Sus scrofa: one gene and its partners. The protein of the gene in region 2 interacts with the protein of the main gene of each other region in a pairwise test. Links are inferred from orthologs where the notes say so. Each region holds a gene or a part of one and is shown on either strand. Other genes may lie near its edges.

The links. The genes of interacting proteins can lie anywhere in the genome.
Region 1: the proteins of EXOC2 (region 2) and EXOC1 interact in binary tests that used the Homo sapiens proteins (3 or more experiments, as listed by UniProt). The link is inferred for Sus scrofa from reciprocal best matches to the Homo sapiens genes EXOC2 and EXOC1.
Region 3: the proteins of EXOC2 (region 2) and RALB interact in a two-hybrid assay, tested with the Homo sapiens proteins (2 studies listed by BioGRID). The link is inferred for Sus scrofa from reciprocal best matches to the Homo sapiens genes EXOC2 and RALB.

What each region holds. Positions count from the first base shown.
Region 1 is NC_010450.4:55,206,391-55,209,890, reverse strand, and holds part of EXOC1 (exocyst complex component 1), read right to left. Parts: intron 3,497-3,500; coding exon 3,476-3,496; intron 1,993-3,475; coding exon 1,805-1,992; intron 1-1,804.
Region 2 is NC_010449.5:338,652-342,846, forward strand, and holds the start of EXOC2 (exocyst complex component 2), read right to left. Parts: upstream 2,801-4,195; 5' UTR 2,403-2,800; intron 1-2,402. UniProt on the Homo sapiens protein: Component of the exocyst complex involved in the docking of exocytic vesicles with fusion sites on the plasma membrane.
Region 3 is NC_010457.5:31,073,438-31,076,937, forward strand, and holds part of RALB (ras-related protein Ral-B), read right to left. Parts: intron 1,103-3,500; coding exon 894-1,102; intron 1-893. UniProt on the Homo sapiens protein: Multifunctional GTPase involved in a variety of cellular processes including gene expression, cell migration, cell proliferation, oncogenic transformation and membrane trafficking.

The DNA of each region.
Region 1 (3,500 bases), on a different chromosome or scaffold from region 2:
CCGTCACGAGGGGAGCAGGAGTACACCTGCCTCTGAAGGATGCATGGAGCTCATTTATGACTCTAGTAGGATTTGCAGCATAGGGATGTAGAGGAGCCTAAGGCCCCGAGATGGCTCCTTCTAGGCTACTCTTTCTTTTCTTTCATTTGAGACTACTTCTCCTAGGCGAAGCAGTAACAAACCCTTGTTAATGTCTTCTAAATGATTCTGACTATTGATTCTGAATTCCCTGAAATATGGAAGCTTTCAAATAAAAAATTAAACTGCAAAGCAATATGATGGCTTGGAACATATATGCAATATTAACTAGAAAAGAAAATACAAACCACTAAGCCACATTAAGAAGGCAGATAGGAGTTCCCGTCGTGGTGCAGTGGTTAACGAATCCGACTAAGAACCATGAGGTTTCGGGTTCGGTCCCTGCCCTTGCTCAGTGGGCTAACGATCCGGCGTTGCCGTGAGCTGTGGTGTAGGTTGCTGCAGATGTGGCTCAGATACCGCATTGCTGTGGCTCTGGCGTAGTCTGGTGGCTACAGCTCCGATTAGACCCTTAGCCTGGGAACCTCCATGTGCCGCGGGAGCGGCCCAAGAAATAGCAAAAAAAAAAAAAAAAAAAAGAAGGCAGATAACATGATATGAAGAAAAAGTCTGGACAAGAATTAAAGGGATATCATCCTAAATTAATAACGGTAATTCTACACATGTTATTCTGCATACTATTCACAGTGACTCAACTGTAGGTGCAGCCCAACTGTAAAGTCAGCAGGGCTCAGAGCTGCTGGCATCGTAAGTGGCCATGCGGGGGCCCGAATGGACCATTTCCATCTTCATATCTTGAAGCTTCTTCTAGGCTTTGCTTCCAGAGAGTTTTATAAACTTGTAAGCTTGGGTTATTCGTGTAACCTCTGAGCCTGAGTTTAACCTCCTAACTTTTACATGCTTTCATGTATAAAATGTCAAATTTCTTTAAGTCTTTAAAATATTCCTTATTCTCTAAGGGGTTTTCTTTTTTAAAAAAAAATTTATTACAATATAGTTGGTTTACAGTGTTGGGCCAATTTCTGCTGTATAGAGAGCCGGTCATACATATATATATACATACATATACATATACATACATATATATACATTCTTTTTCTCAGATTATCTTCAGAGGTTTTCTTAAATGCAAAACTTATCTAAACAAAACAAAACAAACCCCAAATGTTCTTGTTTTAGACTTTTCTCACAAAGTACTGCTGCTACTATAGCTTTTTATTTCCTAGAGATGTGCCTACAACTGAAGAGGAGCTATTCCAAACTTTTCAGCAGAGAAGTCAAGCATCCTCCCTACTGCTCCCCTGTTTTCACCACACTGTTCTGCTCTCTTTGGGTAAAAAAAATGATTCACTGCTTTCAGCCCAATTTCTCTCTTTCTAGCTTGTACCTGTTTTTTTTGTTTTTGTTTTTGTTTTTTTTCCTAAATCACAAAATACTGTTTTGCACTAAACCACCCTGAGGCATTCCAGAGGCTGGGGAATCAACCCCCAAGTCAGTTTCAGGCTAGCTACTTCTTACTTCTACTACTTCATATCACGAAAACTCCCCAAATCCAGAACCTCAGCCAACTGCCTTCAGTGGCCCAAAAGGAGTGGTTCTGTCTATTGAACAAGAACAGTGCAAGACTGATGGCACCTGGGAATACACCTTCAGAGAAAGACAGCAAAGTCAGCCAGGCTCACGAGCTGCCACAGTAACATCTGAACGTCACCGGTCCCCTCCACCAGCCATGCAGCACCCATCTCAGACTCCGGGAAGGGCTTACCCCATCTAGCACCTGCAGCTCTCTGGACAGCTTTTCTGCAAAGGCCTCGGCATTAGAAATTGCACACTCACAGCCTCCCATCATTATTTCAATATCTTGCTCCTCTCTTGCATTTAACTCTTGGTACTCATCCACTGCTTCTTCATCGCCTCCTGTCACACTCTGATTTTCTCCGCTCGGAACAGATTCTTAAGAAAGGTAAAAATTAAAAATGCAGTAGTAAAAAAGTAGGAAGGATGACAGAATAGTTCTTGTAGGAAAGGTCAGTTATAAGCACAGGTCACATTTAGTGGCTGAAAAATAGGAACGAATGATTCAAAACATATGAAAAAAATTTTTTAGGAAGAACCCATATGTTAATGTTTATTATAACAAATAAAAAGCATGCAGTCTAGTTTACAGATGGGTTAAAATAGGCCTTAGTCACAATTTCCAAAAACATAATTAAACTGCCAAACAAATATAGAACCAGAAAGAAGAAAACATGGGGAAGCGATCCTAACCCCCCTTTTCCTACCTGAGGTGGCCGTCGCTCTAACAAAATGATTATGAAGTCAGGACACAGGAAAAACAATTTGCTTTTCTTTTTTCCCAGGTAAAATTTTCTTCTGTTCTTTTTATTCTTTTTGTCTTTTGCTATGTTTTGGTTTTTTTCCCCAATAATTTTCAATTGAAATTAAAAATGCATCTATGATTCACATTTTGAGCACTGAAAATACTAATGGAATTTTCCTTTTCTTTGTTTAAAAATATTTTGCAAGCATTAATAAAATTTCTCAAGATAAGCTAGTAGAAACTTTCCATAGCTGTACTGTAAGAAGCGCAACAACAAAGTGGCTGTGTGAAATTGCAAAAATATAAATGGTCTTCCTGCTTCACAACAAAAGACCAAGAGGTCAAATCTGGAGATGCTTTCTGAATCATTAATGCTTCAGTTCAACTTTTTGAGAAAATACAAACAGCATGTGAGATTTTATATAAATTTTGAGGTGAAGAGAGGTAAAGTGAAAAAACTAATTCTATACCTAAATAAACCTTGACATAAAGTTACTGATTTTCATTAACTCATGGGCCACGATTTAAATCACAAACTCTGGATGTTTTAAATATTCATGACTTCACATGAAAATGAATATTTACAATCAGCATGACTTGCCATACATTAATTTGTCCTAGTACAAAAACCACTTAATTCAAAGTAAAGAATGATTTACTCTTAAGAATGGTAATTCAGCAGATTTACATAATGTCCCAGGAAAAAAAAAAGGAAGGGGCTAAAACTTGTGGCACAGGCAGATTACAGCATACACATCAAAGTTTTTCAGGGAGCAGAACCAAGCTTAGCATCCTCTGAGGCAGTGTGGAACTGGACAGCCTCTGAGCCGCTGGGGCAGGGAAAGCCCAGGTCGTTCTGTTCAGCTCCTTACCCAAGTAAGTAGTTAAACAAATATTTTAAATGATCATAACTGCCTCACAAGTATTTTCACCTCCATAAAACAGTCCTTTGGAAGTGAGTCATGAATACTATCATTATTTTTTATTACCTTATGGATTGTGAAGTAATAAAATTTTCCCTGCACACAACTTCATAAAATATGCAACCAACAGTATATAATAATGGCAAGTAATAAAAATACACGGAATAGAATAAAATGAAGAGGTGTTACGCACCTTCCGTAACTTTAGGCAGTTCTGG
Region 2 (4,195 bases):
ATTGCTCCAGCCCCAAAAGACCCTTCCTTTCTCTGAATTCCTAAGGGCTGCCGCCCAGCTCTCGCTGTTCTTTAGTGGAAGAAGCAAAAATACCCTCTTCTCAGTCAGGCTTGTGCTCCAACTGGGAGATACAAAAGTGACTAAGACTAATCCCGTTCGGGCAAGAGTTTAGTCTTCTTGACCTACACGTAAATGCCAACAATATCTACGGCCCCTAAGACAACGCAAGGATAGGACAGTACTAAGTGGTTCCAGGATTCACTGAGTCAGAAAATTTCAAAGCAGGAAGAACTCGGAGATAATCTAGTTTTAGGTATTCTCTGACAACAGATATAAGGAAACTAAAGCCCGAAGACGCTACCAAGTAGAACAGCCCATGCTACAAAGCAGGGCTGGTAACAGCCCACTATATGGTGCTTTGACTCAGCTGAATTCTAAGGATGCCTGTGGGTGTGGCCACAGCTGCAAGATGCATAATTTCTCTACGACGACTCTAAATTTGTGTTTGCATCAATAATTCTTTTAAACCAACATGAGCATGCACTGAATCACGGGGACTGTAACTGAACACTCCACCATGTGATCTCACCAGGGAATCCAAGAACACACTCCCAGGGTCTGGGAACAATCAATGCACCGCACACTGCTCAGCAGAGCCATCCTTAGTTCCCATTCTGGTCAATTTCAAAATCCTCTCTATTCGGAGTTCCTGCCAGGCTCAGTGGTTAATGAATCCGACTAGGAACCAAGGTTGCAGGTTCAATCCCTGGCCTTGCTCAATGGGTTAAAGATCCGGTGTTGCCGTGACCTGTTGTGTAGGTCGAAGACACGGCTCGGACCCCGCATCGCTGTGGCTCTGGCATAGTATGGGGGCTACAGCTCTGATTAGACCCCTAGCCTGGGAAGCTCCACATGCCACGGGAGCCGCCCTAGAAAAAGCAAAAAGACCAAAAAAAAAAAAAAAAAAAAAAATTCCTCTCTACTCAACAGGGCCCTGAAACTCATCCATTCAGTATAACATTTAAGCTCCACTCTGTGACAACACAAGGATAGGGCAGTACTAAGTGGTTCCAGGATTCACTGAGTCAGAAAATTTCAATCTGGCCAGGAATTCTGGCCAGGTAAGATGAGTAAACTGGAGAATGGATGAAAAAGTCCTGGAGAGACTAACTGTACGAGCATTTCCTACCCAGCCTAAGGATGCCACTGCCCTGACACTAGAAATTGTCCCAAATCCTTTCTTAAAAGACCGCCTGTGCCACGTTTCAGTACTAATTTCATTTCTCATCAGATTCATATATCCAGCTCTCAAATATTTGTGGAATGAATGAAAATTTAACTTTGGAGGTGAATAATCATCTTTAGAGAAGTATCATTTTCAAAATAATATTCAGTTCAGGAAATTAAGTACCTGAAAAGAAGAAAAAGTCACTTTCTGAAACTTCCAAGAGTTGTTCCAAGTTACATTGGGGGATCCGCTGTTTAAAATTACAGAGTTTCTACTTAACCAAACAGAAAGAACATTTAAGTACTAAGCCCACATCATCCTCTTTCTATTACCTCCTTTTGAGTCAACAACTTTTAACACAAATGTTCCTTGGGAAGCTTTTGGCTTCCAGTTCCTGTGTCGTTACACAAAGCCTGGCCAGAGTATAATCAAAATATTATTGTGCATTGGAAGAGGGGTCCACATGACCTCAACTAAAACTAGCTTTCACTATAGAGCACCCGAATGACTTAATTTAAATGTGGTTTTTACAATACTTTTTAAGTTTTCCTTGTAAGTTTACTCATTTTTTTAAACAAGTGACACACGTCTTCTTCAGCGACTAAGAAACGCTTTAGCGATTAAGAAAAGCTTCCTTCCATTCAGACAAGCTCTTTCGCGAACTGTTCCTTGCCCTTCTGGGCAGGCCCAGGCTGGAAGGAGAAAGAGAGCACAGGTTCGGATGCTCTCACTACGCTGCCTCCGCCGCTGCTAAACAATGAGTAACTGCCCGGCTTCACACTAGTTCCGTAACCACCCTGATCTAACGCTTCCTCGCCAGTGAAATGGGCACAACACAATCAATCTGTAAAAACAGTGACGGCACCCGGGAGAGCTCTCCAGTGGTGCAACCTAAGAAACAAGCAAAGCCTGCCTCTTCCTCGCTCTTCACCCGTAAATTCTCAAGCCTTGCGCAGTGACAGGTAAGGACGCAAGCAGGGCCAAGTGCAACCTCCCGCTGCGGGCCGGCACTCCCAAGGCCCACGCCGGGCTTCCAGGCAGGGCTCCGCGACGCCCGCAGGCGCCCCTCCGCACCGTAAGGGCTGCAGAGCGGCGCGAGGCCGACGGCGGTGGCTAGCCCTCCCGCCTGCACCCCCGGCGGGCCCTCAGCCAGGACCTCGGCCCCCACACCTACCTGCAGACAGGCAGGCACGGACCCAGCGCTCAAGCAGGAGACCCCGGGCCGAGGCCGCCCAGCCTTCAGCGCCCTCACTTCCGCCGCCGGAGCGCCGAAGGCGTCGATCCGCCGCGCAGTCGAGCGCCGAACGCCGGATGGCCGCGGTTTGGGGGCTGGATGGGGGCGGGAGTTGGGAGACCGGCGGGAGCGAAGGACCCGGCCGCGACTCCGACCCTCTGGAGCCCCGGGCTGACACTCGGGGACCGTGGCCTCGCGGCCCCCTGAGCGTGGGCACCGTTCGGGTTCAGCCGGCAGGCACCGCGGGGCGTTGGCCTCGAACACAGAAAGGCGCCCGTCCAGACCCAGCCAGAGGGAACGGGTTGCCTGACAGCGGACGGCCCCCCGCGGCCCGGCCGGAAGTGACGCGCCTCCCGGGGAAGCGGCGGAAGCGGAAGGGCCTGCGGTTTTCCGGCCTTTGGGTTGAGGGGGAAGAGCCGCGCGCCCGGTGTTCCGGAGTGAGCGGTGGCGAGCCCTGGCGGTGGCTGCTCCTGTGCCCCGCCGCTGCTCCTCTCCTCTCGGCTCTGCGCGTTACCCCAGCGCGTAGTCCCAGCGGACACCGGGCCTCGCGAATAGAGTAGCCGAAGGGGCAGCGATGGAGCTGCGCGCTGCGTGCGTCCTCTGGACGCCGAGGCCAAGGTGCTGCCGGTGGACGGTGGCTTCCCTCCCTGCAGTCAGCCAGCCATTGGGTGGCAAGGGAGTTGGCTCAGACCTAGATGCAGATGTGGGTTCGGCTTAGTCTTCCTGGCCTGCAAGGGCTCTGGCAAGCATCACTGCAGTTGCTCACAGTGTCTGATTTATCGTCATGGAATTTCCCCTTTAATCGCCTCGAGCAGGGACCCCCTTGAGAGTGAGTAGGGTTTGACAAAAGAGACAGTAACACAGGAGGCACAGTTTCTGCCCCAACATCACACACTCAGAAGCTGCCACCCTGGTAGAACATTAGAACGGCCTCAAAGGCACAGCTGTGGCTCTGGCTTGGGGTAACATTTTGCAGGGTTGCTATGCTGTTCTATGGGATGCAGGAGGTATTTTGAACCTTATAGCGTGTGATGCTTTGTCTGAAGTAGAACCCTGACACCTGCGGCAGCAAATGATGCTCTGCCAGGGGACAAAATGTTCCACTAAATCTAAAGACTCTTCTCATTCAGGAGGCAAGAATGACCTTTATAACCAGGAGGAAGTAGGGACAGGAAGGATTACTTCTGGGCACTCACTGGGCAGCTTTCCGTGCCTGGTGATATCAGCAACCTTGGCCTGATGGGGGCATGGCAACCAGGGGCTCAGACCCAAGAGGGACAAAAGTCTGGTCACATCATCAAGCAAGCAGTCTGGGTCAGCAAAAGTGCTGGTGGAAGGTGAGGGAGCCCAGAGGGAGTGACAGGAAGATGCTGAGGATCTCTATGGGCCCAAGACCAACTGCAGAGGAGCCCATAGCTCAGCCCATCACCACTCCTGATGTGGGTGTGACATCGGCATGAGGAGCCAGCGAGAGGGCCAGAGAACACAACAGCAGGGCCCACCAGAGCCCACCCACACCTGTCCTGCTCTCTGAAAGCTGCTTTCTGGGAAACCTGCTCCCTGTGCCTCGGGGCTTCCTTCCTGGACGCATGGTAACCCCAAAGCACCCGAGGGCTCCCTGGCTCAGAAGCAGGCTTCTGAGCAGAAGAGGGGCAGGGAGGTGGTGTAGAACTCCAGCTGCCTGGCTCCCCGTGGCTGTGAGGCATGGTACCCAGCGTGCCCAGAGGCTGGGC
Region 3 (3,500 bases), on a different chromosome or scaffold from region 2:
CCAGCCGATAAGAGCATTTTCAGACACATCAATAGAATGCTAAGTAAAGCTGCCAAGGGTCCTGACACTGCGGCAGGGCAGGGACTGAAACCCAGGTCTGTGTCATCTAAAGCAGGGCTCTCTCCATGCAAATGTCTCCAAAGGAGCCGCAAACGGGCACTCTGACCCACAACTTTCACTCGCCTGACATTTGAGGTTTCAGAAGCCTTAAAGTAGAGCAGAACTGTTACTCCTCTAGCAAAATTAGGAAAAATATAAAAACAGTTAACTCTCGTCAATCTCTCTCTCAGGATGTCTATGAAAACAATGACAGGTTCTTGTGTACAAGCAATGGCTTTGTCCTCTTCAGGGACAAGAAGAGTCTTAAGACCATTTATATTTGGAAATTATAAAACCAGAAAGCTCAGAGTTCCCTGATGCCCTGGTGGTTAAGGACCTGGTGATGTTACTGCTGTGGCTCAGGTCCTACTATGGCCCAGGGCTCGATCCCTGGCCCAGGAACCTCTGCATGCCGTGGGCATGGCTAAAAAAACAAACTATGAAGCCTCAAGAGATTATAACAAATGATGAACTATAATGAACCATGATTCAAAACGCCCCAGAAAATTCTTTAGACAGATTTCTTCCTAACAAGCTCAACCCTGGACCATTATACTCAGCCCCAAATTCCTTCCAAGTCTAAGACATGAAAGGAAGGCCAGGAGTTCCCTTGTGGCGCAGTGGGTTAAGGATCTGGTGGTATCACTGCAGTGGCATAGGTTGCTACTGTGACATGGTTTCAACCCCTGACCCAGGAACTTTCACATGCTGTGGGTGGCCAAAAAAAACCAAACAAAAAAAAAAAAGGAAGGCAGGCAAAGGGCCTCCTGAAGGCTATTTCATTCCAAACGTACCTGAATTCGGCAGTTGCTGTAAAGGATTCATGCTCTGTGATTGAGAACACGAGGAGGAAACCCTCCCCACTTCGGAAGTAGTTGTCTCGAATGGCTGCGTAGTCCTCCTGGCCAGCCGTGTCCAGAATATCTATCTGGACTTCCTCGCCATCAAGAACCACTTTCTTTCTGTAACTGTCCGCTTTGGTGGGTTCATAGTCTTCTACGAACTGAGGAAATAAACAGCATAATTAGTAATAGTTTTGTCTTGGGGAGGGTTTTTTTGTTTTGTTTTGTTTTGCTTTTCAGGGCTGCCTGAGGCATACAGAGGTTCCCAGGCTAAGGGTCTAATCAGAGTTGCAGCTGCTGGCCTACAGCACAGCCACAGCAATGCTAGATCTGAGCTGCATCTGCGACCTACACCACAGTTCATGGCAACGCCAGATTCTTAACCCACTGAGCGAGGCCAGGGATTGAACCCACATCCTCACAGATACTAGTCAGATTTGCTTCTGCTGCACTATGATGGGAACTCCAAGAATAGCTTTTTTTTTTTTTTGTCTTTTTGCCTTTTCTTGAGCTGCTCCCACGGCATATGGAGGTTCCCAGGCTAGGGGTCAAATCAGAGCTATAGCTGCCAGCCTACGCCAGAGCCATAGCAATGCAGAATCTGAGCCGCATCTGCGACCCACACCACAACTCACGGCAATGCCGGATCCTTAACCCACTGAGCAAGGCCAGGGATCGAACCCGTAACCTCATGGTTCCTAGTCGGATTCGTTAACCACTCTGCCACGACGGGAACTCCATCCAAGAATAGTTTTAAGACAAATAAAATTTGCCAAAGAATATATTTCCGTACATGGGTACTTTGCCTATCATCAATGGAGTATTTATTGAGGGCCCATAATTATCATACTATGTGCAAGGCACTCTTAAAGGACAAATAACTCCTTATGCAATACTTTTCTTCTTTGCTGCTTTCACTTCTTCCATTTTTCATTTTTCATTTTGTTTTTAAACAATCAGAGCAGATAGTCCCATTTTACAGGTGAGGAGACCAAGCAGAAAGCAGAACACTTGGCAACACTCCTGTGGAAAACTGTAATACAAGCACCAGCAAGGGTAAGGGACAGGAGCTCTTGTTCATAATCTACCCAAGTATAAAACACATCTGAGTGACTGGGTCACCATGCTGTATAGTAGAAAACTGACAGAACACTGTAAACCATATTATGAAAATAAAAATCAGTATGTAAAAAAAATTAAAAAAAAAACACATCTGAAAAGTAATATGTCAAGAGGTACCAAGAGGCTTCAATAACTATACATGATACACTCCGAATGCGTCAAAGATTCAGTGTAAAAAATAAGACCCTCAAGTACTTGAGGAAAACATGGGTATTGAGATCCCCTTATTACCTAGAAGGAGGGAAGGCCTTTTTTTTTTTTTTTTGTCTTTTTGTCATTTCTTGGGCTGCTCCCGCGGCATATGGAGGTTCCCAGGCTAGGGGTCGAATCGGAGCTATAGCTGCCAGCCTACGCCAGAGCCACAGCAACGCAGGATCCAAGCCACGTCTGTGACTTACACCACAGCTCACGGCAACGCCGGATCGTTAACCCACTGAGCAAGGGCAGGGACCGAACCCGCAACCTCATGGTTCCTAGTCGGATTCGTTAACCACTGCGCCACAATGGGAACTCCGGAAGGCCTTTTTAATTATCACTCAAAATCCAAAGCCAGAAAAAAGAAAAAATTGATAAATTAGACTCCATAAGAAGTTTTAAAACTTCTGTATGGTATAACACACTATAAATAAAGACAAATGACAGCAGGGAAAAAGTATTTAAACAAATATCACAAAGAGCCATGTATTTGCAGTTCCTAGAAACAAGGAGGGGAAAGAAAAAAATCAACAATCCAGTGGGGGCGGAGTTCCCGTCGTGGCTCAGTGGTTAACGAATCCGACTAGGAACCCTGAGGTTGCGGGTTCCATCCCTGGCCTCACTCAGTGGGTTAAGGATCTGGTGTTGCCGTGAGCTGTGGTGTAGGTTGCAAATGCGGCTTGGATCCCAAGTTGCTGTGTCTCTGGTGTAGGCCGGTGGCTACAGCTCCGATTCGACCCCTAGCCTGGGAACCTCCATATGCCGCGGGAGCAGCCCAAGAAATGGCAAAAAAGACAAAAATAAATAAATAAACAATCCAGTGGGGAAAAGTGGCAACAGATATAAACAATTCATAGAAAAATGAATTCATATGATGGTTAAACATATGAGAGAAGGTTCACCCTCACTAATAAAGAAAATAAAAATTGTAACTATCTTTGCCATACCATTTTTCACCTACCAAACTGGCAAAAATCCCACAGTCTGACGACATACTCTGGGGAAAAGACCCTCCTGCCCACTGCTACTGGGAACAGAGAACAGTGCGGCCTTTATGGAGATAAATACGGCAACACTAATGATTGAGACAAGTACTCATCCTGCTTCTAGGAATCTAATCTACACAAACACCTACACAGGTACATCTAAGCTTATCCACTGTAGTGCCACGTGCAATAGCAAAAGATTACAGACCACGGGAATGCCCAGAGCAGGGATCCACATAATGGAACACTATGCAGG